4 linked regions of the Schizosaccharomyces pombe genome follow. The protein of the gene in region 4 binds, or shares a complex with, the protein of the main gene of each other region. Each region holds a gene or a part of one and is shown on either strand. Other genes may lie near its edges.

What was found.
Region 1: cnd3 (region 4) and cut3 share a complex: the UniProt entries of both Schizosaccharomyces pombe proteins name them as parts of the condensin complex.
Region 2: cnd3 (region 4) and cut14 share a complex: the UniProt entries of both Schizosaccharomyces pombe proteins name them as parts of the condensin complex.
Region 3: cnd3 (region 4) and cnd1 share a complex: the UniProt entries of both Schizosaccharomyces pombe proteins name them as parts of the condensin complex.

What each region holds. Positions count from the first base shown.
Region 1 is NC_003423.3:1,000,535-1,009,100, reverse strand, and holds cut3 (condensin complex SMC subunit Smc4), read left to right. Parts: upstream 1-2,577; 5' UTR 2,578-2,637; coding exon 2,638-6,612; 3' UTR 6,613-6,838; downstream 6,839-8,566. Other genes in the region: protein Cwf25, read left to right, coding at 1-302; erv2 (sulfhydryl oxidase), read right to left, coding at 505-1,083; SPOM_SPBC146.02 (uncharacterized protein), read right to left, coding at 7,299-8,090. UniProt on the Schizosaccharomyces pombe protein: Central component of the condensin complex, a complex required for conversion of interphase chromatin into mitotic-like condense chromosomes.
Region 2 is NC_003423.3:2,876,183-2,883,989, reverse strand, and holds cut14 (condensin complex SMC subunit Smc2), read left to right. Parts: upstream 1-2,621; coding exon 2,622-6,140; 3' UTR 6,141-6,303; downstream 6,304-7,807. Other genes in the region: SPOM_SPBP4H10.07 (ubiquitin-protein ligase E3), read right to left, coding at 434-2,185; S-adenosylmethionine decarboxylase proenzyme Spe2, read left to right, coding at 6,621-7,757. UniProt on the Schizosaccharomyces pombe protein: Central component of the condensin complex, a complex required for conversion of interphase chromatin into mitotic-like condense chromosomes.
Region 3 is NC_003423.3:3,197,350-3,205,505, forward strand, and holds cnd1 (condensin complex non-SMC subunit Cnd1), read left to right. Parts: upstream 1-2,738; 5' UTR 2,739-2,788; coding exon 2,789-2,903; exon of another isoform or gene 2,904-2,973; coding exon 2,974-3,052; exon of another isoform or gene 3,053-3,077; intron 3,078-3,143; coding exon 3,144-6,426; 3' UTR 6,427-6,637; downstream 6,638-8,156. Other genes in the region: Dbf4(Dfp1)-dependent protein kinase Hsk1, read right to left, coding at 1-430, 494-1,339, 1,398-1,626; phospholipid--diacylglycerol acyltransferase Plh1, read left to right, coding at 7,099-8,082, 8,128-8,156. UniProt on the Schizosaccharomyces pombe protein: Regulatory subunit of the condensin complex, a complex required for conversion of interphase chromatin into mitotic-like condense chromosomes.
Region 4 is NC_003421.2:1,475,354-1,483,231, reverse strand, and holds cnd3 (condensin complex non-SMC subunit Cnd3), read right to left. Parts: upstream 5,030-7,878; 5' UTR 4,929-5,029; coding exon 3,015-4,928; exon of another isoform or gene 2,975-3,014; coding exon 2,843-2,974; exon of another isoform or gene 2,783-2,842; coding exon 2,554-2,782; exon of another isoform or gene 2,506-2,553; coding exon 2,396-2,505; exon of another isoform or gene 2,334-2,395; coding exon 2,091-2,333; coding exon of another isoform or gene 1,952-2,090; 3' UTR 1,888-1,951; coding exon of another isoform or gene 1,474-1,887; 3' UTR 1,426-1,473; downstream 1-1,425. Other genes in the region: signal recognition particle subunit Srp54, read left to right, coding at 1-144; Ndc80 complex subunit Spc25, read left to right, coding at 1,266-1,425, 1,474-1,887, 1,952-2,094; serine/threonine protein phosphatase PP2A regulatory subunit B-56 Par1, read right to left, coding at 5,254-5,512, 5,602-5,900, 5,953-6,707, 7,039-7,252, 7,293-7,388, 7,432-7,455. UniProt on the Schizosaccharomyces pombe protein: Regulatory subunit of the condensin complex, a complex required for conversion of interphase chromatin into mitotic-like condense chromosomes.

The sequences.
Region 1 (8,566 bases), on a different chromosome or scaffold from region 4:
AATTTCATTCTCGAGACTCGCAACCTATCACTCAAAGGCATACCGATATAGAAAGCCGTTTACAGAAAATGCAAGACAATGCTAAGGAATTAGATGAGTCACGAAGAAAAAAAATTGAACTATTGGAAAAGAAAGAAAGAGATGAAGAACAGTTTTTGGAAAAAGAGAGACGCGATACCGCAAGAAAATGGGATAACCAAGGAGATTTTATCAGAAATATGAGAAAAGAGATCTACTCTGGTGATTCTGTAAGCTTGGCAGATCGTGTGAATAGTAGCCGACATAACATGTTAAGGCCGTAACGTGATTTCTATGTTTTTTCTAATATAACTTTGATGCATAACGATATAACATTTCTGAATAATGAGTGGAAATGACGGTGGTAAACAGTTGAACATATCAGTTTAGGGTTCATTAAATAAATAGCTTAACATCCAAATGCATTGCATGATAGACGGTAATATTTTTTAATAATACATGAATTCTTAAAATTAACCATTGTTATCAACCAGAATAGTCGTGATCTTCGTTAATTACTTGTACCCGTTCAGGAACATTTTCAGCTTCGCTTTCGCGATAGGTCGGCGATCCGATTACATATCTCTCATTAAATCCATCGCATGATGTCTTTGGTTGATTCATTTTCTCATTTAATTGATTGTGTACTTTGCAAGCCCACGTAGTTGCTGCTTTTCGAGAACTTGTTTGTGGAGGATGTACATCTAGTATCTTTTGGAGTTCCACAGAGTATTCACCACATGGCATTGTAATAGCGGAAGAAAATAGATAATGTCTTAAGATATCTCGCTCATCTAATGTTGGTCTGTTTGGATAATTGGAAACAACCGTATGAATTAACTTCCAGTATGCATTTACCATTAAATTATTCGTGTTATTATCGTGCTTCGTGGACATCATCTCAATTGGTTTTCTACCTTGACCTTCTCGATCCGGAAGCGATTTAATTTCAGGCATAAACAGACGCCAATCTTTGTCTACCATAACACTGTGAAAGATCCATATAATAAACGATAAGATTAGTAGGGTAGGGAGAATCACCTGAATTCTTCTATTAAGGATCATGTTTTATAGTATTTAGCTACTTCGTTTTCCCCGTAAGAACACCTTCATCTACCAAATTAATTGTAAAGGAGAACTGCAAGGACAGAAACTCACGCGGCTTTTTTGATCTGATATGCGGCATCGCTATGTTGCAATAACGAGAAGGAATTGATGGTAAACAAAACTAACCTCCTGGGTTATACAGAGCGAGTGCATCGTTATATCTAATGCTAATTAACAGAAAAACTTTTAAAGTAGTAAGATGGAACAGGCTGCTGGATGATCCAATGCATTACCAAATTGATTTAGATAAATGTATTGCCAACCCTTTAATTTTTTTTTTAGATATTAAATATCTTTTATATCAATTCTATATGCTTTTTATTTTAAGACTCAGAAGAGTTTTAATTATAAGTATAGTTAATAGTTAATAAATATGTAGTTTAGTGATAGAGATATAACCAAATAACAACAAAAAAATTAACTAAAGTATCATTATTATAAAGTCCATTGCTAGGTTTTATCACTATAAAATTTTTTTTAAGTTTGGAATTATTTACTAAAAAAAAGAAACTTAACGTAAATAAATAAAAACTAAGAGGACTTGTTAGTTTTTGTTTAAAAAATAAATAAATAAATAAAGAAGGAAGAGTTTAGCTAAGTTATCAAGTGAGCATAGATAGCATATAATAATCTATGTTTACAGATTTAAATGTTTTAAAGATAAATTACTTGCAATTGCTTGAAGATATGAATTTGCGTTTGATTAGTTTAAATCAAAATGTAAGAATTTTGGGTTAAATTAACATATGGCAAAAGGCTTGTCAAGTTTAAAGCTAAAAAAATACAAAACAATAGTGAATTTGAAAAGTTGTTCTAAAAAACTTGGACAAATCGTTTCCTTGCATTAACATTTCATTTAAAGAGCTAATCTATTTATATTACTTACTGATTATTCTTTATTCGTGGTTATTTCACACATAGGGCTACCCAAACAAGGTAAATTTTTGCGTCGTCTTGCTAGATTTAATGAAGGAATACAGAACAAAAAATCTTTGAGCTTTATATTTATTGTGTGAATTGAAAGAGGATGTTTGCTTGTGCTAGTAAAAACTTAGAAACAGCAATGTATTCTGCTCGTCCTTTTAATATTTTGCTAGTGTAAAGTGTCAGAGCAATATTCTCTTTTACTTAATTTTCGTTTTGAGTTAACTTTCAACGTCCAAGAATACCAAATTGACTAGCATAATAATTTAATGTATAATAGACACATGAGTTTATAATTACAGGTAAAAAGATGTTTGAAGTCTTCCTTTAAATCAGGTGTGTAGGTATAAAATAAATAGATCATTTTCATCTAACATGACCTGTTTACACAATTATACTTCAGTCTTTAGTTTATAAACATGGGCTTTAGTGTAATTTAACTGTGGGTTTTTGTATATTTTATTCATTAATTGACTTCATCGTTGGGTGAAATGCTGTTCAACCGTTGTAAACAACACACCTCTTTTCACGACCACCCACTCTTTTAGAATTTTAAGTAATATATAATTTGTTGAAGATACTATCTTTATGTCTGACAAGGGCATCTTTCGAACGTCTTCAACACCCTCGATTGTGGATGTTACGCCAGATCGTGGTGAAAGGCCACGAAAGTTGGTTCGCTCAGTGCTAGAATCTCCTTCTCAGAAAGATGTCGCATCAATTGTCAAGATAGAGCAAACACCATCTCGCCCATTTTTCAATGACTTTTTAAAAAAAAGAATTACCGATTCTTTAAACGAACGCCCTAATTTGCTCAACAAATTTATGTCTGCTCAAGATGGCACTCCATCTAAATCAACAGGTTTCAATGAACGGAGTTCACAACTTGTGTCAGAATTTACTACTACAGAGGATATTGAGAATTGTGAAGAAACCACTCAGGTTCTTCCTCCTAGACTGGTTGTTTACGAGCTACGCCTAACAAATTTTAAATCATATGCAGGAACTCAGATAGTGGGTCCGTTTCATCCTTCTTTTTCTTCAATTGTTGGACCAAATGGCTCTGGGAAATCTAATGTTATCGATGCTTTACTTTTTGTTTTCGGTTTTCGTGCTAGTAAACTTAGGCAATCCAAAGCGTCTGCCTTAATTCATAAATCTGCAACTCATCCTTCTCTCGATAGTTGTGATGTCGAAATTACTTTTAAAGAGGTAAACTCTGACTTTACTTATGTTGATGGAAGCGAACTAACAGTTCGTCGTACTGCTTATAAAAATAATACTAGTAAATACTTTGTAAATGGGGTTGAGAGTTCCTTTTCTGCAGTTTCTAATCTTTTAAAGGAGAAAGGAATAGACTTGAATCATAAGAGATTTTTAATTCTTCAAGGAGAAGTCGAATCAATAGCGCAAATGAAGCCCCGGGCTATATCAGAAGGTGATGATGGTCTTCTTGAATATCTTGAAGATATCATCGGAACCTCGAAATATAAGCCAATTATAGAAGAGAATATGCAAGAACTTTCGAATTCTGATGATATCTGTGCTGAGAAAGAATCTCGTTTAAAACTGGTGCTCTCTGAAAAGGCGAAATTAGAAGATAGCAAAAATTCGGTTCTTTCTTTTCTCAAAGACGAAAATGAGTTGTTTATGAAACAGAATCAGCTTTACCGTACTATTCTATACGAAACACGCAATAAAAAGACGTTAGTTCAAAACTTGCTTAATAGTTTGGAAGGAAAATTACAAGCACATTTAGAGAAATTTGAACAAACCGAGCGAGATATTTCGGAAAAAAATGAAGAGGTTAAATCATTGCGTGAAAAGGCAGCAAAAGTAAAAAACGATTGTACTTCAGAGAAGAAAACTCGCCAGTCTTATGAACAACAGACTGTGAAGATTGAAGAGCAGTTAAAATTTTTACTTAATAAAGAAAAAAAGTTAAAGAAATCCATTGAGGCTCTTTCATTCGAAAAATCAGAAGCAGAAAATTCTTTAAGCTCTCATGATATTGATTCCCAAAAGTTGAATTCTGAAATTGCCGATCTCAGTTTAAGACTTCAACAGGAAGAATTGAGTTTGGATGACATTAGGAAAAGTCTACAGGGAAAAACGGAAGGTATTTCAAATGCTATTGAAGAAAAGCAAAAGGCTATGGCTCCCGCCCTCGAGAAAATAAACCAATTGACATCAGAAAAACAAATTTTACAGGTTGAGTTGGATATGTTATTAAATAAAGAAAATGATCTAATTAACGATGTTGAGTCCTCTCAATCTTCGCTTGATAAACTGCGTAATGATGCAGAAGAAAATCGGAATATCCTGTCTTCTAAGCTTAAAGTGCTTTCCGACCTAAAAGGAGAGAAGAAAGATGTTAGTAAGAACATTGAAAGAAAGAAGGAAACTGTTCACAATACTTACCGAAATCTTATGTCAAACAGAACAAAGTTGGAGGAGATGAAAGCTTCTTTAAGTTCTTCTAGATCTCGTGGAAATGTGTTAGAAAGTCTTCAAAGACTTCATGAATCTGATAATTTAAATGGTTTCTTTGGACGTCTTGGTGATTTGGCTACAATTGACGAGGCTTATGATGTGGCCATTTCAACTGCCTGTCCTGCTTTAAATCATATTGTAGTTGACAATATTGAAACTGGACAGAAATGTGTGGCTTTTCTGCGCTCCAATAACCTAGGCCGTGCTAGTTTTATTATTCTCAAAGAACTGGCGCAGAAAAATTTAGCTCGTATCCAAACACCTGAGAATGTTCCCCGGCTCTTCGACTTACTTCGGTTTAATGATCAGAAATTCGCTCCTGCGTTTTATAACGTTTTGCAGAATACCTTAGTTGCTAAAAATTTGGAACAGGCTAATAGAATTGCGTATGGCAAAACACGTTGGAGAGTTGTTACACTAAGTGGTCAGTTAATTGATAAATCGGGCACAATGACTGGAGGTGGTACTCGAGTAAAGAAAGGCGGAATGTCCTCAGCTATAACGAGTGATGTATCGCCGGCTTCAGTTGAGACTTGTGATAAACAAGTGCAACTAGAAGACACTCGATATCGCCAACACCTAAGTGAGCTGGAGAGCCTTAATCAGCGATTTACTGAAATTTCGGAACGTATTCCATCGGCGGAACTAGAGATTTCAAAGCTGCAGCTTGACGTTTCTGCTTGTGATAGATTGGTAGCTGGAGAAGAGAGGCGAATCTTGCAGCTTAAATCCGATTTAAAAAGTATTAGAAACAACAATGAACGTAAACGGAATCTCCAAAACAAAATATCAAATATGGACAAGGAAGTTGAGGCCATAAATATTAACAATGAAGGCCTTGTCACTGAAATTAAGACGTTACAAGATAAGATCATGGAAATAGGTGGGATTCGATATCGTATACAAAAATCAAAGGTCGACGATTTGCATGAGCAACTCAAATTTGTTAAAGACAAGCTTAACAAAATGAGTTTCAAGAAGAAGAAGAATGAGCAACGCAGTCAATCTTTCCAAGTTGAACTATCAAACCTTACTAGCGAGTACGATACAACTACTGAAAGTATAGCCACTTTAAAGACTGAACTACAATCGTTAAACAAGTATGTGGATGAACACAAATCTCGGCTCCGCGAATTTGAAAATGCTCTATGGGACATCAATTCCTCTATCGACGAACTAGTAAAATTTATTGAATTTGAATCTAAGCAAATGAATTCCGTTAAAGCAGAAAGGATTGAATTGGAAAATCAAATTCAAGAGCAGCGTACGGCATTATCAGAGGTCGGCAATAATGAAAATAAATATTTAAAGCTCATGTCAAATCTGAAGTTACACAATTTGACTGAATTTTGTGACCAGACAACAATGGACTCAACTTTTCCCGAATATTCTGAAGATGAACTGAGTTCAGTTGATAAAAGCGAGCTGGTCTCTAATATTTCAGTCTTGAAAAAGAAAACTGAAGACAGAGAAGTAGATATCAATGTTTTGTCTGAATATCGTAGATGTAACAAGGAAGCAGAAAAGCGTGATTCTGATTACCAAAGTGAATTGCAAAAAAGAACCGATTTGAAAAAAGTCGTTACAGATCTTCAATCTCAGAGGCTCGATGAGTTTATGTACGGATTTGGAATTATATCTATGAAGCTTAAAGAAATGTATCAAATTATTACTATGGGCGGAAACGCAGAGCTTGAGTTAGTGGATAGTTTGGATCCGTTTTCTGAGGGGGTATTGTTTAGTGTGATGCCTCCCAAAAAATCTTGGAAGAACATATCTAACCTTTCGGGAGGAGAGAAGACGTTAAGTTCTCTAGCCCTTGTCTTTGCTCTACATAATTACAAACCGACTCCTTTATACGTTATGGACGAAATCGATGCTGCATTAGACTTTAAAAACGTTTCGATTGTTGCGAATTACATTAAGGAAAGAACTAAAAACGCGCAGTTTATTGTTATTTCTTTAAGAAGTAATATGTTTGAGTTATCTTCTCGTTTGGTTGGCATTTATAAAACGGCGAATATGACTAAGAGTGTCACAATCAACAACAAGGAAATACTTACAGATTAACTGCACATTCAAATAAAAACGTAGAAAATTGGAAACTAGATATTTAATAATTTACGAATTTTTGGCTACTGAATGTCAGTGTTTCATAATTCACAGTGTGCATACTAATAAATCTATGTTATGAGAAGATTAAACTAATTTAGTTTTGTGGCACCCAGTTTATGTTAATGTTTCAGAAATCTGTTTATGAACGTAATAGGACTACAAATATATAAAATTAATCTTCACTCGCTTTTAAAGCCTGTAAAATCTGCGCAAAGGAATTGTATATAATTAAATATGTTGTTTACATCATCAATTTCAGAAGGTATCTACAATTTGTAGTTACATAGTATAATATTTTAGTGGGTAATGCTTTTAAAGATTTATTGCAATCGTATGCATACCATATAGAACGTATCCAATTTTAAGTAATTTAATTTTATGGTAGTAAATTAAGAATAATTAGAAACAAACAATAAATTAGATTAAACAATATGAGTCGTAAACTTAAATAGGAAATCTCAATGCACACGACGAGATAAATGAAAGACCAATTAACAAGAAAAATGCAAATGATAAAAGCTTTCCAGCTAATAAGAGATAGGAGGACTAAGGAAGAAAGTAATGAAGGAAATAAATGAATGTTAATTACCACATGGCTAGCACCATGTAGCCTAACATGGAGCATCTGAGTAACACTTATTTTATAGCCAGTCGCACTGATGGTGTTCCCACCCATTAAACTCAGTCAAACCCAGGTGCTGAATTTTCCTCTTCGATTTCGATCGGTTTCTTTTAAAGGACAAGCTTGATTCGCCTTTCACAGCAGATTTAAGACGAGAATACGCATCAGAAACTCGGGAAGTAACATTTCTTTTAGAAGGTGTTCTGTCTATTAGTCCCTTGCGAGAGGAAACTTCTTCAATATCGAAAAACTCTATATCATTTGCAGAATTTTTTAAAGTGCTTTTACTACTCCTTCTATTGGCTCGTTTTTGAGCAACAAGCTTCTGAATTGCGGCGCATTCTAATCTGTATTGCGAATTGCTAAGTTCCTCACCAAGTGCACCTCTTGCAAGCCGTGCAGGGGAGGATGGTGAGGCATAACGACTATGGTTTGAAGAAAGACCAAAACCCTGCTTTCCAACGCTGTTTAGCTGTTTCGAAACCGAATATTTATGAAATCTTAACTTTAATGGAGAGATTGGTGAAAGTAAAGGACTTGAATCACCAATGGAGTTCGATGCCGCTTCCAACAGCCATGGCGAATGCTGCGAAATGTTTTTGTCCCAAGGTGATACTGGCGACTTTAACTCTTTATATATGGCATTGATCAGTTCGTCAGATATATGATGTGATAGCTTCAGTGAATTAGAGGTGCTATCTCCAGAACTTGACCTTGTTCTATCGCTTTGATCATCACTGCCATCAATGAAACAGCTGGTTTTTATATTATGGAGTTGCAAGGTTGCTGGTTTTTTCCTTATACCATTCATTGTAAGTTTAAAAGCAATTAATCTGCTTGATAAAAAAATTAATTGACTATTTTGTACTTAATAATGAAGCTAGGAGATCTCTGTATTCAATTATTGTTAAATCCTACGATTCTTATTTCAATGAATCAAGAAATAATATATCGTTAGTAAGATAACTTTTATTTACAGTAGGCCACGAGTTAGCGTGTTATATACAAGACTGAGATCACAAGGTTTCTTTGTTCATGGAAGACAAAGAAAGCTTTTATTGACTTCAATAATACGTAAATTTTAATTAATTATTAAGCTCAATAAATTATCGGGAGTTTTGAAATATTAATTTGTTTTCTCATGTTAGATGGTAATTCGAGATAGCTATTTGGCGGTTAGGTTAAACCAAAGCTCTTGAACCAAAGCAAAAACATAAACTGATAGCTACTTTTAGAATATTTGAGATAGTAAACATTAAAAACTATACAAATATTCATTTAAGAGAT
Region 2 (7,807 bases), on a different chromosome or scaffold from region 4:
AGCAAAGTTAGGCATAAAATCAGATATAAAATTATACAAAGTGAAAAACTGATCAATATAGGATATAAATAATCCAAGGAATATTAAATAGGCCTCATTGTAGAAACCATTTTCCGAGACTGGGTGTTGAAAATAGCAAGATGATCAGTCCATCAATGGAGTCTACCTTACCATAGAAAATTCATCATATAAACAAACAAAAATAATGGAAAACAGAAAAGGAAACAAGCCCGTTTTGGCTTTATAAGCTATGCTTTAAGGATCGTCAGGTCGAGAGGAAGGGTTGTGACATGCCCTTTTAAATTCTCATAGCTAAAAGGAAACAAGGAACATTAATAAAATATATGGGTAAATACATTCAAAATCGTTTTGGTGGAAGGAATCCGAAAAGTTTTTAAAGCAACAAAATTGTCATGATGATTGATCATGTTGATTATGGCTTGGGAGAGGACGGAGTAGATGCTGAAGCAACACCTTTAGTACGACACAGGGGGCATGAATTTTGGCTTGAAGTTAACCACTGATCTATGCATTCACGATGAAAAAAATGATTGCATTGTTTAAGACGGCGACACTCATCGTTCAACTCAAAATTTGATAGACAAACAAGGCATCTTTCATCGGTTCCCGAAAAAGGGAATACACCACCTGCCTTTTCAAGGTCTTTTTGTGAAGCCACTGGCGGCTTTTCAATACCGATAATAGAATTCAATAAAAGCATGTCCTCGTACGTTGGTGAATCAGTAAACAGTGAAGGTGCTCTCAAAACAGGATGATTTTGAGGTACAAAAGCTTCTCGAACGTATATGGCCCAGCTTCTGGGCAATTGGTGGTCCGTTTGCGAATTATTATTTCTAGTTTCAGGTGCTTGTTGAGTGGAGGATCCATTATTATCGGAAATCCCATTTACGTCTGTAGCAGTAGAAGCTTGCTCGTCTTCGGAAATATGTTCTGCCTCATTAACATTTTCATTTGGCCCCGTATTATCACTAACGGACGTTGTCTGATTTTGCGAGTTAACAAGTGAAGATATCAAATCAGAAGGATGCATTAAAGTTGGGGAATCGGCACTTGGTTGATCATCTTCATCACTTCCTGAATTTCTTAGACTTCGGATGCCAACTATTATAATCGGGATTACTTCTTGACCTTCATGATTTCGGTGTAAATTGTCAAATCTAAAAGTTCGAAAAAGGTTTATAGGACCAGATTCTTCTTCAAGATCCACAGCATTTGCAATTAGTTCTGCAGTCCTAGGATTAGTTTCTGCGTTCATCGCCTGCACCAGATTACCAGCGTGCAAAAGCGATAAAAATTCATCGAAAGCAACATTTCCAGATTCCACATTTCCAGAAATTGAAGAAGGAAATTCTAAATTGTTTGATTGATGTGCACTCGAAGAATTCATCAGTACACTAACCCAACCAGACGCTACTGAAAACACAAATCGAGAAAGCATGACTAGTTGACTTTCTTCTGGAGAAACAGATGCTTGTTGAGTATTTTCACTATTATTAATATAGTTCATTACCGCACGAGTATAGTCCTCCATATTTGAGTCCGCTAGAGAAGTGACAGATCTTACCGGCAATCTTCCAATTGCAGTTCCCGGAGATTCTAAATTATTTACAGAGCCATGATCCTGCATTTCCTGTCCACCGCTCGAACTGACGTTTTCATCTTCATGATTCGATGCCAACGTAGACTGATTGTTTTGGGTATTTAAATTGCGTAAAGCAGCAATACTAGAACGAAATCTTCTAGCAGCACGTTCAAATTCCTGTTGGTGATTTTCAAGGATTAACCTGTCTGTTTGAGGTATTGCAGATGTTTGTGATTCGCCTTCTATACGAGAGCGAGGAGTAGCTGGTGTAGCTGGTGGACTTAACGACCTTAGAGAAGGAGAATTCCTATTCAAAAGCGAACCACGGTAGCGAGAACGAAAAGCCGATCTTTCAGTAGTTCTATCACGATTACCATTTTCCGAATTGCCTTCATCGTTACGATGCCGCTTTGCTCTTCGAAGACCTAAGACTCGCTGCAAAGAGGGAAAACGATTCCACAGCCTACTAAAGCCAGAATTTTGTCGATCTGAATCATTAATGTTTTCACTTTCTGATGAAACCGCCTGCATACTTGCGTCCCTTTGAATTTGCCGACTGGGAATGGATTCACCTTGCCCCATTTGTGTAGTGAGTGCAGTACTGATTATCAAATATAGTTAAATAACAGAAAAGATAAAATATATGTTTTAAATTAAAAAGAATTTAAACAAGTTACTTGAAAGTATTAAAATACATAAACTAATAAATCTAAAATGTTAATAGCGGTAAGCTTTTTGCATACTAAGCATCATTACGTAGTTTAACGTTGCGGTAAATGTTATTAGAGTAGTCGCACTCTTTTATATCTACTATGAAGTCTTATTTCACCTTTAATGCTTTAAACGACAAACAGCTTTAATCATTTTTACACTAAACAGCAAACAGTTCGGACTGAAATGTACTGCTGAAGATTTATCTCCCTCTAGGAAATACTTTACAAGTCAATCAGTTTTTTGAATTCTAGTCTTAAATACTTGGGCTTCAGTAAACAAACAGAACGAGAAATTTACTGAAGAAATGAAAATAGAGGAACTCATCATTGATGGTTTCAAATCATATGCTGTGCGAACTGTCATTAGCAATTGGGATGACCAATTTAATGCTATAACGGGCCTCAATGGGTCTGGAAAAAGTAATATATTAGATGCAATATGCTTTGTCTTGGGAATTACGAATATGTCGACTGTCCGTGCCCAGAATTTACAGGACTTAATTTACAAACGCGGACAGGCAGGAATAACCAGAGCTAGCGTTACCATTGTGTTTAATAATCGGGATCCTGCGTCTTCACCAATTGGTTTCGAGAATCACCCGCAAGTAAGCGTTACAAGACAAATTATCATGGGCGGTACAAGCAAATATTTGATTAATGGACATAGAGCTCTGCAACAGAATGTTCAAAATTTGTTCCAGTCTGTTCAGTTAAATATTAATAATCCTAATTTTTTAATTATGCAAGGTCGAATCACCAAGGTTCTTAATATGAAGGCTACTGAAATTTTATCAATGATTGAAGAAGCCTCTGGTACTCGAATGTTTGAAGAAAGGAAAGAAAAGGCTTTTCGAACAATGCAACGAAAAGAAGCAAAGGTTGAGGAGATTAATACACTGTTAAGAGAGGAAATCGAACCCCGACTTACCAAACTTCGTACAGAAAAAAAAACTTTTCTAGAATATCAACATATTTATAATGACTTGGAACGATTAAGCCATCTTTGTACTGCTTACGACTATTATAAGTTGTCACTTAAAGTGGAGGAATTAACGGTTCAAGCATCCCAGAAGCACAGCCATATCGCCGAGATGGAATCTTCATTACAAACATCGAAACAGGAGGTTTTAATACTAAAGGAAAAGATTAAAAAAATTGAAGATGAGCGAATGAGACAAATGAGTGTTTCTTCGGATCGTACCTTGGACTCTCAGTTACAAACTGTTAATGAAAACATCACCAGAATAAGCACGTCGATAGAATTAAAGAATACAGCTTTAGAGGAAGAGCATGGGGACCTTCAACAAATTCGTGGAAAAGCTAAGGAATTAGAAACTTTGTTGCGCGGAAAAAGGAAACGACTAGATGAAGTGCTTAGTGTATACGAAAAAAGGAAAGATGAACATCAAAGTATTTCAAAGGATTTCAAGTCTCAAGAAGAGCTAATTTCATCACTTACAACTGGTCTTTCCACTACAGAAGGTCATGAAACTGGCTATTCTAGAAAACTACACGAAGCTCGAGATACGTTGAATGACTTTAAAGCTGAAAAAGAAACCAATCGATTAAAGCTTGAAGGACTCAATAAACAAATATCTTTAACTAAACCTAAGAAGGCTGAGGCTACAAAACGATGTGATCAACTCAATCGCGAAATCGATATATTACAAAACCATGTTGAGAAGCTTAAAATGTCTTTAAAAAATACAAATTCCGACATTACAGGTGAAGATGTACTCCAGCAAAAGTTGAAGCAACTTGCTAAAGATCGCGGCAATTTGTTAAATGAACTTGATGCTTTAAAAAGCAAACTTGCTTATATGGAATTTACTTATACCGACCCTACTCCTAATTTTGATCGCTCAAAGGTGAAAGGATTGGTGGCTCAATTGCTAACCTTGAATGAAGAGAATTATGACAAGCAAACTGCATTAGAAATTACAGCTGGTGGCCGCCTTTATAATCTCATTGTTGAAACCGAGAAAATTGGTGCACAATTGCTTCAAAAAGGAAACCTGAAGAGGAGAGTTACTATTATTCCCCTCAACAAAATTACCAGCTTCGTAGCTTCAGCAGAGAGAGTAGGCGCAGCCAAAAAAATTTCTAATAATAAAGCCCAACTTGCTTTGGAATTAATCGGTTATGACGATGAGCTTTTGCCTGCAATGCAGTATGTTTTTGGCTCCACATTAGTCTGTGATACCCCTGAATCGGCAAAGAAAGTTACCTTTCATCCTTCAGTTAAATTAAAAAGTGTCACGCTTGATGGTGATGTTTATGACCCATCTGGTACCCTTACTGGTGGGTCTGTGAATAAATCTGCCGGTCCTTTACTACAGATACAAAAGCTGAACAGTCTGCAGCTAAAATTGCAAGTAGTTACTTCAGAATATGAAAAGTTGGAGACTCAACTTAAAGACTTAAAGACTCAAAATGCCAATTTTCATCGACTTGAGCAAGAAATTCAACTAAAGCAACATGAATTAACACTTTTGATAGAGCAAAGAGAGACCGACTCATCTTTTCGTCTTTTATCTGATTATCAGCAGTACAAAGACGACGTTAAAGATCTCAAGCAAAGGCTTCCTGAATTAGACAGACTTATATTGCAAAGTGACCAAGCTATAAAAAAAATTGAACGAGACATGCAAGAATGGAAACATAACAAGGGATCAAAAATGGCTGAATTGGAAAAGGAGTTTAATCAATACAAGCACAAGTTAGACGAGTTTACTCCTATATTGGAAAAGTCCGAGAATGACTATAATGGCGTTAAACTCGAATGTGAACAATTAGAAGGCGAATTGCAAAACCATCAGCAATCTCTCGTACAAGGTGAATCGACCACGAGTTTAATAAAGACGGAAATTGCAGAACTTGAGCTGTCACTTGTTAATGAGGAGCATAATCGAAAGAAACTCACCGAACTAATAGAAATTGAAAGCGCCAAGTTTTCTGGACTTAACAAAGAGATAGATTCACTCAGTACCTCAATGAAAACATTCGAATCTGAAATAAACAATGGGGAGCTAACAATTCAAAAGCTGAACCACGAGTTTGACCGATTAGAGCGAGAAAAATCAGTTGCTATAACTGCTATTAATCATTTGGAAAAGGAAAATGATTGGATAGATGGACAGAAACAGCACTTTGGTAAGCAAGGAACCATTTTCGATTTTCACTCTCAAAACATGCGTCAGTGTAGAGAGCAGTTACATAATTTGAAACCGCGATTTGCTAGTATGCGTAAAGCTATTAATCCCAAGGTTATGGACATGATTGACGGTGTAGAAAAGAAAGAAGCCAAATTGCGCTCTATGATAAAGACCATTCATCGCGATAAGAAAAAGATCCAAGATACTGTCAAAAGTATTGATCGGTTTAAAAGGAGTGCCTTAGAAAAAACCTGGAGAGAAGTCAATTCTTCTTTCGGTGAAATTTTTGACGAACTACTTCCTGGTAATAGTGCAGAACTACAGCCACCAGAGAATAAAGAATTCACTGATGGATTGGAAATTCATGTAAAAATTGGGTCAATTTGGAAAGATAGTCTGGCAGAACTTAGTGGTGGACAAAGGTCTCTAGTTGCATTGGCTCTTATTATGTCTCTACTTAAATATAAGCCTGCTCCAATGTACATTTTAGATGAAATTGACGCGGCGCTCGATTTAAGTCATACCCAAAACATTGGAAGACTTATTAAAACAAAGTTTAAAGGTTCTCAGTTTATTATTGTTAGCCTTAAAGAAGGAATGTTTACCAATGCTAATCGACTATTTCATGTACGATTTATGGACGGATCATCTGTGGTACAAGCTCGCTAATTTGAACGTAAACACTTGAATTATACGCGCATGTATAGTCCTACTATTTACTATCACCGATGTCTTAATTTATTTAAAGAATATTTCTACCAATCATTAAAAACAAGACTTTTGGTTCTTTAAAGTTGTTTGTGCCGCTAATGAAACTTAGACTACGGTATGTATCATATGTATAAAATATCGTAAACTCATCATTTCCAAATTTATTATTAGCGTCGATGTCATTTGTAGCATATTCAAAAATATTTAGGGTAGGGTTTTAAAATTTTGATCGATACAGGATGTTTCTGTGGTTATGTATTTAGCCTCAACATCATATAAAATTGGTGCGACAGCCGCAATTAAGTTATTATTTGTATGCTTTTTTGCTAATAAATATCCTAAAAGTGTAACTGGAGCAACTAGCTAGTACGTGTTTTGGGAATTACACTCACAGCGCACATATAGCATTGGAAGTTCTTTGTATGACTATATTCTAAAATGTCTCCTACCCTTGTTGTTGATCAAGAGAATTCGGAAGAATTTAACACCTCCTCATTTGAAGGTCCTGAAAAATTGCTGGAACTATGGTTTTCGGCTCCTATAAAAACCAATTTAAGTGCGGGTGAAAAGGCTAACTTGGGACTAAAAGCTGTTTCTCGCAATGATTGGGATGATATGCTAGCCCAAGCCCAATGTAAAGTCCTCAGCGTTGTTAATAGTGAAGAAATAGATGCATATTTACTTTCTGAATCCTCTATGTTTGTGTTTGCCCATAAAATTATCCTTAAAACATGCGGAACCACTACACTACTGGCTAGTTTGCCTCGCCTATTAGAAATTGCTTCTAGTGTTGGCTTTGATCGTCCTCTTCGTATTTTTTACTCAAGAAAAAACTTTTTATATCCCGAACGCCAGCTTGCACCACATACGAGTTGGGAGGAAGAAGTTCGTTACTTACAACTGTTTTTTCCAAGTGGATGCTCTTATGTAGTGGGTCCGACAAACAAGAATCACTGGCATCTGTTTTCTGATCTGGCTGATGATTATTCTTTACTGGAAGATTCCCTTGATCCTGAAGATGAGACCCTAGAGGTACTCATGACTGATATGTCTCCCGAACGCTCGCTTCAGTTTTACGCTCCATCCTTGGATGTTGTTCGGAGCGCTAGAGGTGATGACTATGTTCGAGAAAAAAACAATCTCTCGGGGGGTCACATCCTTGGCAGTTATGTAGCTGATGAATCGGGTGTTAGAGACTTATGTAGTACCTCTGATAAAAAAGCAGTGCTTGATGCTTTTCAATTTGAGCCAATTGGGTTCTCGTCGAATATGATTTACAAGGACCGCTATGCCACAATCCATGTTACGCCTCAAGAACATTGTTCTTATGCTTCATTTGAAACAAATGTTTCGCAATTCCAATTCGGAAGATCCATATCTGAAACAATCGAAAAAACTGTTAAAACTTTTGGTGCAAACAAATTTTGTCTTACCCTTTTCCAGGCTAAAGGTGCGTCTCAAGAGAAGCATTTCTCGGCCAAACTTAAATCTTTTAGCTCTTATAAGCGTGAAGAATTTATAGTGTATGACTTTCCTGGATATGATCTTATATTTGCCAGCTTTACTGCAGTATAAGTTCGGAGAACAGTCAGCTAGATATTTTAAATTATCTGTTGCTATATTTA
Region 3 (8,156 bases), on a different chromosome or scaffold from region 4:
GCATCATTTGGTAAAATTTCATCAATACTTCGCTTCCGCTTTGATAAAGAAGTAGGTTCATCTGTTTCTTCCTGCTCTTTAAAATCAAGGATATGGGATAAGTGCTTAGCAGTTAAGTCTTCGTCTTTCTCGAAAGAGGTTTCTCCAAAGCTATTATCAAAAGCTGTATCGTCATCTTTCTTTTCGTAAGCTAAATTATCGAGATACAAGAAATCGTGATCCAATGCTTCCTCAGCTGAAATCCTTTTGTTACAGTCAAGTTCAAGACATTTCTCTAAAAAATCCAGGCACAATCGCTCTTCTTGGCTTGGTTTATGACGAAGCTTTTCTTTGTATATACTGGCTGAACCACAACTGGCCCACAAAATAAGTTTCCTAAAGTTTACTCTTTTTTCTGTAAGCGTGCTTACATTTGTCTCAAACGTACAACCTGGCAGGTTAGCGAAAAAAATCAACACAAACACTTCCGTAAGGGACATTAGATCGTTCTTACCGTGTAAAGCAGCACATTGGCGCATTTCGCTTTTTCCAAATATACATGCTATCTCCATGAGTGCATCCACGTCGTCCTTTGAATTAAACATGGGGAAACGTTTAGTAAGGAAAGATAACAAAATAACCCCAGCAGACCAAATATCAACTTTGGGTGATTGAGATGAGCATTTAAACAATACTTCAGGTGCTCGAAATCCTCGAGTTCCGGCTCTATTGGCCCGTTTGCTTGGTCGAGTATCGTTTTTTATGTATCCAAGAGATGTTTCCTGCGCAATCGAAAAATCATGTGCTAATTCGGCCGCATTTGAATTAGTGCACCGGCAAGAATGTGATTGTTGTCTTCCATCATAACGCTCTGCTAATCCAAAGTCAACTAAGACACCATGCTTGGTACGAACATCGAAGAGAAAGTTACTAGGCTTAATGTCTCTATGAATGATTCCCAAAGTCTGAGTTTGCTGCATAGCTTGAAAAAGGCATCGAAAATAAATGCTCATATCGCGATAGGAAAAAGTGCTATAATATTGACGAAAGTCAGTATGCTCGTAGTAGGGTAAAACTACGAGTACCTGATCTTCATTTCTTAAAGCAGTTATTAGCGGGGCTATTACCGACGATCCCCTTAATAAATATAGGATTTCTAATTCATTGTATATTCTAGCAGGACTACTTGTCGCGTAAATTTTTTTTATAGCAACGTACTTCGGTTTCCGGCTGTCTTCATTAACAGGAATTTTTTCTTTTCCAAAAGAAGATTCCTTTAACACTTCACTTTGAATGTCCCAATCATTAATATACCTCCCATAATGTAGGTCTTCCGCTTTATATACACTGGAGAACGTACCTAAACGAATTAGCAAGATAGTTTCAAAACAGTACTAAAAACGGTAATTGAAGTTTACCTTCTCCAATTTTTTCAATTAGCCGATAGTTCTCTTGTAGCTCTACGAACGTCCTTGTGATATTTTCAATTTCTTCGCGGTCTCGTGCAGGGATATCTTGAATCATTTCTTGAGATTTGTTTTCGTTTACATTTTCATCGTCCACCTCAGTGATTTCACATTCAGAATCAATATCTGTTTGTTGTTCATGAGTTACTTTAGGTGATAGTGTGATATGGGCCTCTGCCATGTTAACGGTTTAACTCATATATTTTTAAACCAAATAATAACTTAAAAAAAATTAAAAGAGTCGTCAATTAAATGGTAAAATGCTGCCAAGGGAAGGAACCAAGAAAAAACAAATTTTCACGTATTTTAAACCTTCAAACCGAACACGCGAACGAATACTAAGATTCAAAAAAATCAAGTTTTTAAAATGTGTAACACAAACTCATTCCATGAATATAAGAATTTGCAGATTCCAGGTTCAACACCAGTTGTACATTGTTAAGCAAAATGCTCTTCTAATGAGGGACATTGTTACTTCCAAACAAGAAAAATACATTTTTAATCCAACTTTTGTTTAATAAAAAAAGTACTCTGCTATAATATTTGTATACTTATGGAAAAGATTAAGATTTCATGTCCTTTATCTTTTTTTAAATTTAGGACTTGCTTTAAAAAACATAAATCCTTTGGGCTCTTGTTATTGTTAATAACCACCATAAACAACTAGAATTGACTATTTATTGGACATTGAGAGTAAATATGATTAACCATGGTATTCAAACACGTTTTTTTTTTCTGTTATTTAAAAATAAATAAAAAAATTATCCTGAATTTGAAATTTATTCCTAGTTAAACTACGATAGGTTTTCTGTTTAGTTTATTGTGTATTACTTTAAAATTCTAAAAACAGCACAAATGCTTACCTCGTCAAAATTTGCATTCATAATAATTTTGAAAATCACCTTGAAAATGATACATGCGCCAAAATAAATTATAAGTTTTTATATCAGAAATACAGCTCAAGAAAGAATTTACAACTAACGTTATTCAAAAAATATATTAAATTCTTTTCAAAACATTTAATTAGAAGTACTAAAAAGAACAATAGCTTTTACGTGGCACGCTCAATAAAAGTTAATTAAAATATTATTTTTTAATGTAAACAAATGAGTTAATAAAAGCACGTTCTATATCCTTAAAGTGGTTAGCAACAATTAAGTCTAGCTCCTATTTTATATTTTGACTAACCGTAGCTCTTTTTTGTTAGTAAGAAAGTATAAATGGACCCCCACACAGGACATATAGGTGGGGTTATTGTTTACAAGGACTACTAGAATGTAGTACGCCAAATCCATCTTTTATTTCATTCGTAACATAGAAAGATTCGGCTTTCAGTGGCCTCAATGTCGTTGGATCTTCTTTCTAGATTAAAGAAATACATTCATGATGAAGAAAATTCCGACTTGGACTCGATTTATGCTGAATGTGAAAATGCTGGATTGACAGCCGTGGTTAACGGTATGGACATTTGGGTTTTTAAAAAAATTGAAAATGATCGATTCCACAATAACTAACAATGAAAAATTAGACGTCATTGATACCCTTTTATTAGGAACGAGTTCTTGTTTCGACGAGGATTGCTTGGAAAAACTCTTTGCTATATGTTCGTAAGTAGTTGTTATTTTGTGTTATTCAAATAGAAGGAAGCCATTTGGTTTACTATATATCAATTTTACCAAACTAACAATAATGGTTTAGACACTTTGCTGACCTCTCTTCCTCTGTAAGGAATAAAGTATATGATTTACTCACGAGTAATATCAGCTCTGAATCCGCTATTCTTGAAGATATGATTTCCGCAAATGCTACTGATTTTACTGTACCTCAAACGAATTTAGAAACTACAGGCATTGCATTTCAGCTCACGGTCAATTCCCTTTCTTCCTCAAATCAACTTTCAGTTATTCGGTCATCCACTAATACTGTTAAGGGAAGAAAAAAAAATCCAACTACTAACTCTAACTGGAATGGTATCTCACATGTAAATGCTTTGTTAGATGCAATCATAACATTATTTCAAAAAAAATTATCTCGTGTATGGACTACTTCTTCGGAAAGAGACATGTTTCTTTCACTTTTCCTAAAACCAATATACACGTTAATGGAAAGTGAAATTAACATAAAAAATGCTTCTTTCCGTTCTCGTTTATTTAATATTATCGGGCTTGCTGTTCAATTCCATAACCATACCACTGCAGCGGAGACAAATATTATTCAAAATTTACAATACTTTGAGCATTTATCTGAGTATGCTGCTGATCTTGTTCATATTGTTACCGTTCAGTTTAATTCCGTTACCTTGGCTGAAGGAATTATTCGAACATTGTGCTCTCTAGAATTTAATGATAACGATGTTAAAGGTCCCAAGCAAGTCGCTTTGTTTCTTGTCCGTCTTTCTTCACTTATTCCAAACTTATGTTTGAAACAGCTTACTCAATTAGTTAAGCTGCTTGATTCGGAATCATATACTCTGAGATGCGCTATCATAGAAGTACTTGCTAATGTGGTCATTGATCAAATTCATGATGAGGCTCAAAATGAAATGTCAGAGTCAGTGCCAGCAACTGTTCAAAGCTTAATGGATCTTCTCAGTGAGCGATTACTAGATATAAGCCCTTACTGTCGTACTAAAGTACTTCACGTCTTTATCAAAATATTTGATTTACCAATTAAGTATCCCAGAAAACGTCAAGAAATCGCGGAACTCGTGATCAGATGTTTGCAAGATCGGTCAAGTCATGTCCGCCGAAATGCAATTAAGTTATTTTCTAAACTTTTAACTACCCATCCTTTTTCAGTTATGCACAATGGCTTACTAACCAGAAATATTTGGGAGAAAGGATTATCTATCATCGAGGAACAGCTTAATTCTTTACAACCAAAGCAACAAGAAAAGGTGGTAGATTCAGAGCTTGAAGTCGATGAAAACTTATTAGAGGATGCTACTATGATCCAAGATGATGAGTCACATGAAGGAGAAAGTCACTTGGAAAATTCTCTAAGCGAATATGTCGATTCTGTTCCTGCTGAGGAAATAGTCAAAGTGAATTTAACGAAACGGTTTTATTTAGAAGCACTCCAATATATAGACATTGTGGAAGCGGGAGCAAAAATAATAAGCCAGTTGTTGTTTGCTAAAAATAAGAGCGAGGTAATTGAGTCAATGGATTTCTTTGTTTTTTGCAATTCTTTTGGAATTTCGTCTTCAAAATTATATATAAAAAAAATGATTCATTTAATTTGGGTAAAAGGAACCTCCGACGAAGGGAACAACATTCAGAACCATGTATTGTCATGTTATAAAACATTATTTTTTGAGCCACCTCCGAACTCTGGTACCAACGAAGCCGCAAACTATATTGCGAGAAATCTTATTTCATTAACATATGATGCTAGCCTTGCTGAGCTTACATCACTTGAACAGATGCTTTGCATTTTGATGAAAGATGGGTATTTTTCACATCTAGTCATAACAAAACTATGGCAAGTATACAGTTATCAAAAGAAGGATATATCTCGAACACAACGTAGAGGATCCATCATAGTAATTGGAATGCTAGCATTAGGCAATACCGATGTTGTCATGCAGGGCTTGGATCATCTTATTCAAATAGGACTTGGTCCCCCTGGTTTGGAGGATTTAGTTCTTGCAAGGTACACATGTATAGCGATTAAACGTATTGGCAAAGATGCGTCTGGTTCTTCTAATATTAATTTTCCAAATTCGCATACGCTTTGTCAAAAATTATGTATGCTTTTACTTCGACCATCGTTCTCTGAAGAGTGGTTTGGGTTAGAAGAGCAAGCTATTGAGGCTATATATGCAGTTGCCAAACATCCTGACGAACTTTGTACCAACATTATTTTGCTTTTGACGAAACAACTCTTCAAACCTTCCAATCATGAGAATACTACCAGTAACGATGATCATGCAATGGACGAAGATTTAGATGATTCTCCAGAAGAAGAAACATTAAAAGATGAGGAAGAAATAGGTATACGACTGGCGCACTTAATATTTTTAGTAGGCCATGTCGCGATTAAACAATTAGTCTATATCGAATATTGTGAGGCAGAGTTCAAACGGCGAAAAGCGGACGCCGAGAGATTGGCCGTACAGAACTCAAATAATCCTATAAATGGGCAAGAAACTTCTGAATATGATTTAATTACGGGAACAAGTGAAGATGATTTTTCAGAAGCAATGACATTTATTCGTGAAAGGGAGTTGCTCTATGGTGAGAATTCTTTACTTTCGAGATTTGCTCCATTGGTAGTAGAATTGTGCTCAAATCATAAATCGCACAATAATCAAAGCCTTTTACTAGCTGCTTCTCTGACTTTGTCCAAATTTATGTGTCTTTCTAACAATTTTTGTATGGAACATCTTCCATTGTTAATAACCATTCTGGAGAAATGTGATAATCCGATTATTCGAAACAACTTAGTAATCGGGTTAGCAGATTTAACTGTTTGTTTCAATCATTTTATTGATGAAATATCCGAATACTTATATAGAAGACTGATGGATGAAGAGTCTTCTGTCAAAAAGACATGCTTTATGACTCTAGCATTTTTGATTTTAGCTGGTCAAATAAAAGTAAAGGGCCAGCTGGGTATTATGGCTCGTTCTTTGGAAGACGAAGATGCTCGAATTTCTGATCTTGCTCGAATGTTTTTTACTGATTTTGCAGCCAAGGATAATTCTGTATATAATAACTTTATTGATATCTTCAGTGTATTATCTAGAAGTGCAGAGGAGCAGGATGAGGACGACGCTAAGTTTAAGCGTATCATTCGTTTCTTGACGTCCTTTATTGAAAAAGAAAGACATACCAAGCAATTAGCCGAACGTCTGGCTGCTCGTCTTGATCGGTGTAAAACTCAACGTCAATGGGATCATGTGGTGTATGCACTTTCTTTGCTTCCTCATAAAGCCGATAATATTCAAAAGCTCATTGACGATGGATATCATGAATAAAGTCAATTCTAATGCTTTATCTTACATATTCAAAATCCTTTGTATATTAGTATTGCCTAATTAAAAAGAAGAATGACGGTATACCTTTTTTATAACGAATTGAATGTTAATAACTATAACTTCATTGATCTACAACACCCATTATTTGCAACAATTAAACAATTCAAGCGCAAGTTAAGGTAATTTAGTTATTAGCTAAGTAATTTGCACATTCTAGCTGGGTCATTAATTATTTTTTGTGCTTATGAAGAAGATTTAACTTTACCCTAGAAAACTATTCACCTTCATTAACTGCTAAGTAAAACTGAGGAACTCTTCTCAATTTTAGGCTGTATCAAATATTGGTAAATTACATACTTGAACAGAGATCATTTTTTGGAACTGTCATCATCCTCTCAGGCTAGAAGTTTTGATAATAAATATAATCGGCATATACTGAGTATAAGTGCATTGTAACGTAACTCAGTTTAACTAGAAATAAGGTATTTCAAACTTTTAGACACTAAATCAAAATACAATTGTAGAAGGAAACCGATATTAAACGTGTTTCTAAAGCAACTTAACGCTCACTTCGTTATCACTCCTGCTGTAGAACTATGACAGTAAGGACTTCGCTTACTTATCGAATGTTTGGCAGTTGCTGCTCAAGCAATTCATATTTTAAAGTTAACTATGGCGTCTTCCAAGAAGAGCAAAACTCATAAGAAAAAGAAAGAAGTCAAATCTCCTATCGACTTACCAAATTCAAAGAAACCAACTCGCGCTTTGAGTGAGCAACCTTCAGCGTCCGAAACACAATCTGTTTCAAATAAATCAAGAAAATCTAAATTTGGAAAAAGATTGAATTTTATATTGGGCGCTATTTTGGGAATATGCGGTGCTTTTTTTTTCGCTGTTGGAGACGACAATGCTGTTTTCGACCCTGCTACGTTAGATAAATTTGGGAATATGCTAGGCTCTTCAGACTTGTTTGATGACATTAAAGGATATTTATCTTATAATGTGTTTAAGGATGCACCTTTTACTACGGACAAGCCTTCGCAGTCTCCTAGCGGAAATGAAGTTCAAGTTGGTCTTGATATGTACAATGAGGGATATCGAAGTGACCATCCTGTTATTATGGTTCCTGGTGTTATCAGCTCAGGATTAGAAAGTTGGTCGTTTAATAATTGCTCGATTCCTTACTTTAGGAAACGTCTTTGGGGTAGCTGGTCTATGCTGAAGGCAATGTTCCTTGACAAGCAATGCTGGCTTGAACATTTAATGCTTGATAAAAAAACCGGCTTGGATCCGAAGGGAATTAAGCTGCGAGCAGCTCAGGGGTTTGAAGCAGCTGATTTTTTTATCACGGGCTATTGGATTTGGAGTAAAGTAATTGAAAACCTTGCTGCAATTGGTTATGAGCCTAATAACATGTTAAGTGCTTCTTACGATTGGCGGTTATCATATGCAAATTTAGAGGAACGTGATAAATATTTTTCAAAGTTAAAAATGTTCATTGAGTACAGCAACATTGTACATAAGAAAAAGGTAGTGTTGATTTCTCACTCCATGGGTTCACAGGTTACGTACTATTTTTTTAAGTGGGTTGAAGCTGAGGGCTACGGAAATGGTGGACCGACTTGGGTTAATGATCATATTGAAGCATTTATAAATGTGAGTCTCGATGGTTGTTTGACTACGTTTCTAACTTTTGAATAGATATCGGGATCTTTGATTGGAGCACCCAA
Region 4 (7,878 bases):
CCAGGTTCTATGAACTTTGGTGATATTTCAAAAATGGCTAACATGTTGATGGGAGGCGGAGGTCCCGGAGGGGCAGGTGGTATGGATTTCAGCGGTATGCTCAATCAATTTCAAAATATGCAAAAGCCTCCTCGAAGACGTTAGTTTACTTCCCTCGTTATTATAATGTACTCACATATGGCATATTTTACTCTAATACCTTATTTACTGTTTTATAAAAATATATGCATTAAAAATTCATCGTCCTTCTCGTTTTCCTTTTTCTTTCCCTAATTACTTAACGTTTGCTTTTATAATTGTGTAAAATTTGTTTCTATTTCTACTGAAGAGCTAGCAAAGTTTGCTAAACCGTAAACGTGAAGCATCCTTGTATGATTGCTCTCGACAATTATTTGCAGATTTCTTAAGAGCTCGGTTAGCTTATGTTAATTGCTCTTGCTTCGTAAAATGAGAATTGGATTTATTGTATATTAATAATGGTAGTGTATTGAGAACATAGTTTTTTAGCCGATTAGGATTAAGTTTTGGGTTTTCTCATTCTATGCAATCACATGAAAAAGCTTCTTGAAAGTTTCAAATTTGTGCTTTATTAATCTAATTACTAGTTTGAACAATGAAGGATACCTAAAAATAGGCCAAAAGGCTTGTACGTAGAAAGCATAAATTAGAACTAACGGCAACTGGAAGCTATATTTGAACAGAATGCAGAGATGAACTTAAGTGGAAGATTCTATAGAAGCATGAATTTTAATATATTCGTTGAAAGAAATGGTGTTTTAACCGAGTCTTGAGACAAATGTAATTAGAACGATTTGTACTTACAACATTAAAGAATTGAGCGAAAAATGAATGGCACTTAAAAGTAGTAATGTCAAGCTTATGGTTCAAATACCTGTTTCACAATGAAGCGTAAATGGTTGAAATGATTAAATCCCTACCATCAAATCCTGTAGTGTGTTTATATAAAATCAAAATAAGTTTTACTATCTATTAGCTTTAAACATAAGGAGAAATTAAACGGTTTTATTGCTTTATGCCGTGAAATTGCAAGTCTCGAATAAATGCCTATGACTTTTAGTGGAACCAAAGCTTTTGCTAAATAAAAGCCACCAAACAATCTATTAGATTTATTTCCTACAATACGATTTATAGAATATATAAAATTGACATGAATTAGAAATTTTTTATATTCTGGTTTTATTAACACACATCTTTCGATTAGCATAACATTGAGCACTCTACTTTAGAGAAAATCATTTTCTTCTATGTCTTTGGCAAACTTTCCAACGATAGAACTTGATTACGATAGTTTGAAATCAAAAATTTCGAATTTCAACAGCATCTTCGATCGATTCTTGCAAGAAGAGAGAAAGAAGCTTCTGAATAACAAAAATGAATATTTGCGTCAATTATCTGAAATTAATGGTACGTTTATAGTGATTACTCTGCTTTTTTAAGTTAACATTGATCTAGAGGCACAAAAGAAGGCAGAGAAAAGCCTTGAGCAAACTGAGGCTCGAAAACAGAATTTTACGGAATTATTAGAAAAAGAGCATGAGGAGCAAGCTATTACAGAACAGGAAATATTTTCGTTTCAAGAAAAGCTTGATGCAATGTTGAAAAGGAAACAAAAGCTCTCTGAGGAACTTGATCATTACCGCGCAATCATCTCGTCCAAAAGAGAGTTGAGGGCTCAAGAGATGGAGGCGAAACGGAAACAGGATTCTTATAATAATCCAGAGCTTAAATTTTGGGAAGATTATTTGGGCTTGAAAATGGAAGGAGTTCATGACGAAGTCATCAGATTTATATTTACAAACATTGATGAAAAAGATTGGAACAAACAATTTTCATTTCAAATCAATCTTGCTGAAAGGGATTATAAAGGTAAGAAATCTTTTGGGATTAAAAAAATTATTATTTAGATTTGAGCTTAAACTAATCCCTTCAGTCGTGCATTGTCATCCACCTCTACCACATGTTGATGATTTGGTAAACAAGGTTAATCGCACTAGAGACTTTTATCAGTTTCTGAAAGATATGCGGAAGGGATTCCGTGAACTTCATAGAAAGGATCTGTCTCAATTGATTTAAAGATCTTCTTCTTGTTTAACATAAACTTCCTCCTCGTCTTCCATGTTGGCTTCCACTGTATCAGGAATAATTTCGCCAGATATGGCTTCAGCTCCAGCATGTTCATTCTCTTCAGCATTTTCCATTAATCTTTCTTCTTCTGTTTCTTCAAATTTGGATCTAGCTTCTTCGTTTTGAAGCAACATCCTTTCAAATTTCGCAAGTATGCTCAAACTGGTGGAATCCATGGTGAAACCATGCTATACATTATTAGTTGAAAGAACCATTTTGAATAATTCTCGCTGAATTAGTATTAACTTACACTCTCGTATGTTTCTAATTTGCGTTTTGTCCTCTGATAATCTGATGAAGGCAAGTCAGTAGGGATTTTAAGCTTCCCCAATAAGGATATCATAAATTTTCTCTCTTTTCCTACATTTGTTGTTAGTATTAATGTCGTTTCTTGTATTTAATCCCCACCTTCAGAAGCATTAGGTAACGACTCAAAAATCATGTTTGCTAAATGTAGATGTACATTATGATTTAAAGCGATATAATCATCTCCTGTTTGTGTTTTTCTTTCATACAACTTTTCGTTGTCAGTCCAATCTAACATTTGCTGAGCTATGTGTCCTATGCTTAATTGAACATCATCTTCATCAAGATCGCGGTATATTTCTAATAAGCTTAATAGTGCATCGCAGAATATCTAAAATGCTGTTAATTATCTATTGTTTGTTCAATAAAAAATAATGATAATTTTCCTTACAGTAGCTATTCGCCATTGATTCTCGTGTGCACCAAAGGCATAAACAGGAAAGAAATAGCCAAGAACTTGCCGTAGCGCATGATTATCAACTGTGTTAGGCTCAAAATATTGAATGATGAGGGGTTTTAGAAACTAGTTGTTGTAAGTAAGTTATAAAAACACAGCAACATACCAGTTCGTCTCTGTAATGCAATATTACCAACAACTTGGCTATCGCCTCAGCACCGAGAGTCTGTAATTCGGCATTTTCGAATTCCCCTAAAGCTTCAAAAAGTATAGAAGAAATAGCATCTTCATATTCGGTGAACTTGGCTTTTCCATGTTGTATTAACATATCAGTCAATGTACGAATTGCGGTACACTTTAAAACCACAGAACCTTTCTCGTAACAATGTAAATACAAAGGAACGTTTTCAAATGCAAGATCAGCATTCAACAAGCAAACCAAACTAAGACACTCTAATCCTTTTTCTCTAATTGGCAAGTCATGGCTCCTCACAGCCGGGATAATTAAAGTCTTAAGCATGTCTACCATATATAAGTTTTCATTTAAGGAGGATGTGATGTTTTCAAATAGACACTGAACGTACGAAAGGCATCTTAACTCATTAAAAGCTTCTTTATATCCATCCATGTCGTCAGGTTCAGGCTCATTTAGTTCATTAGGTGGTAAAGATGGAGATGGTGACTTTTGCGAAACAGTAATCTCCTCACCCTCATAATCATTTTTATTCAGTTCTGGAGCATTGCTGTTCCCTTGTTCCTCAGTCTGGTTTTGTGAATGTCCTTGTTCAAACACCTCCGTAATAATTTCAACTAGCAATGAGCAAAAATCGTTTTCAGAAGAGCAAAGTTTCCTTAATAGTTCTATATGTAAAGAGATTAGTGAATCTGGAAGGGCCATAGTAGAAAGACTATTTGTAAGACTCTTTAAAAGCTTTCTGCGACCAATTTCATCAACCATGTCCTGGCTTAGACCAATGTATAACAGTTGTTCAATTATAAAACATGACTCATCATAAGAAGACTTGTCTCTAAGAGAAACATACTGCCTTTCGATATAATATGTAAGTTGAACAACTTCAGGCATTTTATCCAAAAGGTCAGTGTAATTTTTCTCTATACAAATTTCATTGAATGTCCTAGCAAGCAAGGAAGACTCAGCTGTAAGCTCTAACCAAAATTGTTCGGGGAATTCCAGCTGAGACAAACTATCCACGCGTACATCAAAGAATTTTTTAATTGCTAAAACTGCAACATCAGAGTTGTTAGACACATCAAGTCTCTCTAGAAGTTCCAAAAGATTGTTATCAGCGTTTTCAATCCACTGATATGCAAGCATATCAGCCGCGGCTTTTTCAACAGATTCATCACGATCATTTAATCCCCATTTCAATATCCTTACTCTCTTCTTTATGCTTAAATAACGAAAATCTCCTATTTTCGGTAATACTCGGGCATAGACACATTTTCGATTGGCAGCATCAACATCGCGTGCTCTTTCAAGAATAAAAGGGAGAGTTGAGTTGCTAACTTCAATATTTAAAAGAACAGACCTTCGCACTTCAGAGCTAGGATCGTTTTGCAATAAAAATAAAAGAATATTTCGAACATCGTTTTCTTCGTCACCGGTGTCTTCTTGAAGCCGAGATAAAGCAACAACAGCTTCAAGGCGGACTATCGATTCCCGGTCTAAAACTCTGGACAAAAGCTTTTCTTTGAGGGTATTGTAAAGGTCATCATCAATTTCTTTTACACAATTAACCACTCTGGCAATAATTTGGCAGCAACGATATCTTACAGTTTTATCTTTGGCATCTAACCCACGAAGTATATGTTTTAAGATAGGTTGAACAATGTCTATCTCAGGATCCTTCTGCTGAAGGTAATTAACAAAGGTTACTAGGAACCTCAAAACGCGGTCAGCATTTGAGTTTCCTTTTTTAACAGTTAATATAATATTTAGCGCCCTTAGGATGTCGGTTTCAAATCCTTCCTGCGTCCGTAGGGTAAACAATTTGTTGCATAGCTTTCTATGACCAGCAATTGAAGTTTGACTAGATGAAATAATTTGAATGCAAGACATATTCAATAACAATTATATTATGCCAATTTTAGTGCTTTTGCTGAAGTTGAGGAGCACCTCACTGGCATACCTACAGTTGGCTCTCAGTGGTAGGTTAAGCTGGGGTATGCAAACAAAAAAATGAACCCTTCTAGCTTAGGCCCACTTGAGATTGCAACATTCAATTTGAAAAGAAGATTGCTACCAAGTTACCGATTTATATTTTATTACAATCAATTAAAAGAAAAGGAAATACTAACTGAAAATGATATAGTATGTAAAATGTAAAAGAGGGAATATTAGAGACTAAGTACAATATATGGATCATTATTAAAATATGCAAGTCCTAACCATTGGTGTAGTCAAGTGAAAGTTTTTTTAGTCTCTCAGTAGTAGAGTGCACAGTAGTAGGGTTTTGAGATTTAAGTTTCATAGCATTCTCTTTAGCGATGTTTTCTAGTATAGTCCATCTTTCTTCTCGTATAATTTCTTCATCTTCTTTTTTCCGACGACTCTCAGAATACTCAGCATCAACTTCATCGAATAAAGAAGGATTAATGTCCATGAACAATTTTAAGACGTTACAAACCATAGAATGTATAACTCTAACAAAACGTCAGCAAGAACTAATAAACCACTTTCTTTATCTTAAATAAAGAAAATAAAAAGGGATTTTAAATGAGTAACTACTTACCTATTCCAGTGACTTTTTGAAATTTCAAAGAGTGCGGGATATATAATTGGTAGTATAATGTCAACGTTTTCTTCAACCAAATGCACGAAATAGTCGTTGTTAAAAAAATATAAAGCTCTTTCAGCAACTTGGAAATTTTGGCTAGATATGGATGTTGCCAACTTGTGGAAGAGCGGCACCTGGATCTTTAAAAACTCTGAAGGTTCCATCACTTCAATAATATCTTCAATTTCATTTAAAAATAAGACTTCTTTTGAGCTATTTACTTTCGGCCAGTATCGAAGTAAGCCCAAGACAACCTATATTGTCATCGTTAGATAAAACGTAAGAAACACTAGGAAATATACATACCTCTTCTGTAACAGATGAATCCTTTTCAACAAATTGAACAATTCCATAAGCAATTTGAGGGTAATAAAGGGGAAGGGATTTGGCTTTATGTAAAGGAATAAGAACACGTGACAAGAATATTTTGTGTTCCTCTTTTAGTGGTAGGGCAAATCCATTAATGATACTCCCGAGGATTTCCAACAGTTCGGCAATACCATTAAATTGCTCGTTCTCATAGACAAACTGCAAAAATAAATTATTAATTGAGCGCCTTATGAACGCACGAAGAGAAAGAAACTTTCCGTATATTCTATGAAGTGTAGTCTTTAGAAAATCACGTTCCCTAGGATCTTCGCTGTCGAACAATACAAGTAATTTCCTAATAAATTTTTGATTAATATACACCTTGGCTACGGATGTATTCAAAGACGGAGATTCAAAAAATCTTAAGAAAAAATCGTAAACAAGGTGAAGATGGGGCCAAGCAACTTCCAAAGCCGGCTCATCTTCTTCAAGATCCATGATTTCACCGGGAGGATTAGAAGGAGGAGGTAAAGGACGAAACACATTTACTGCAAACATATGAACAATGGATGGATACAATGACTCATCAATTGCTTCCTTTCGAACAGATATTAAATCAATGAGATCTTGAAGAGCCTCTCGCTTCACTTCTTTTCCGTAAAGATCGGTGGAGGGATCGTTGAAATCGAAAACAACGCAACATTGTTCTAATTTTTCCAACGCCAGAGAGTGCCATTTATTAACAGGAACATCTAAATAGACAGGTTAGTAAATTAAATTGGTTGACAACAAAGTATATTGATAACACCTCAGTGTTTGTCAACACCAAGTACATTAAATCAGAAAGAAAATCCTATTCAATGTTTGTGGTTTAAATCATCTCTTAGTAAAATAAAATGAAATGTGAGAAAAAATGGAAGGATTCCTTTTTCGATATCAGACACATCAAGCTGAACAGTAAATCCACAAGCGACACCAGCATGTGCCGCATTGAACACCATCCAATTTCATGACATTCTAATAAGAAACAAAATCTTTTATAACTACTTAAAACAATCAATGAAGTGTATCCATAAAACATACCAGTAAAGGATGGAAGACGGACCAGGTTTCGATTTTCAGATATATGGTAAAGGGATGAACGTTGTTTACGAACAGTCCTGACATTCTCTAATAAGATCTCATCTCTAGGAGTTGGTGTGGTATCAATAGGTACTTTCTTTCCTGAATGTTTTGGAACAGTAAGAAAGTCGTTTTGGGCACCAATCACAGAACCATTGGGATCCGTCGAGGGAGACTATGAAAATGTTAAAAGTAAGTAAAAACCTTTTCCGTACCTCTTTCGGAGCCTTGCTAGAGTCATGGGAATTCGATTTTTTGCTTTCCTTCTTCTTGCTAGACTTCTGGGTATCTTGAGATTTCCCTCGAGAAAGCTAGATTCTGGTTAATCAAATAAACACTAGATATGGATCTTACCATTTTGCTTTTAATCCCTTTCATCTTGAGGGCTATTTGGAGCGCTCCAACCCTTTCTTCTTTGAAGCTTTCAAAACAAGCCTACAAATTTGGAGACAAAGGGAGTTCAATTTGAAGCTGTTTAGCAGCTCTTATATAACCGTAAAGGCGCTTCTAAATAGCAAAATTTTCGAAGAAAATTCAGCCGCTTTCTGAGAATTTAACACTTTTACTGCTTTTTTGGAATGTACCGACAGGTGGAGATCCGGTCGAGGAAATACCGTGTAGCAAACACACATAACGAAACATAACACCACTTGAAAATTTTGTTTAATGTACCGGTACGTGAAGCTACGAAAGTACAAAAGGTCGTAATTTTATTTAACGATTCTTTAATGTACATCGGAAAGTGGGTTTGACAATAAACAAAGAAAATAAATGATACTTACCCAAATTTCTGAAAAAAAG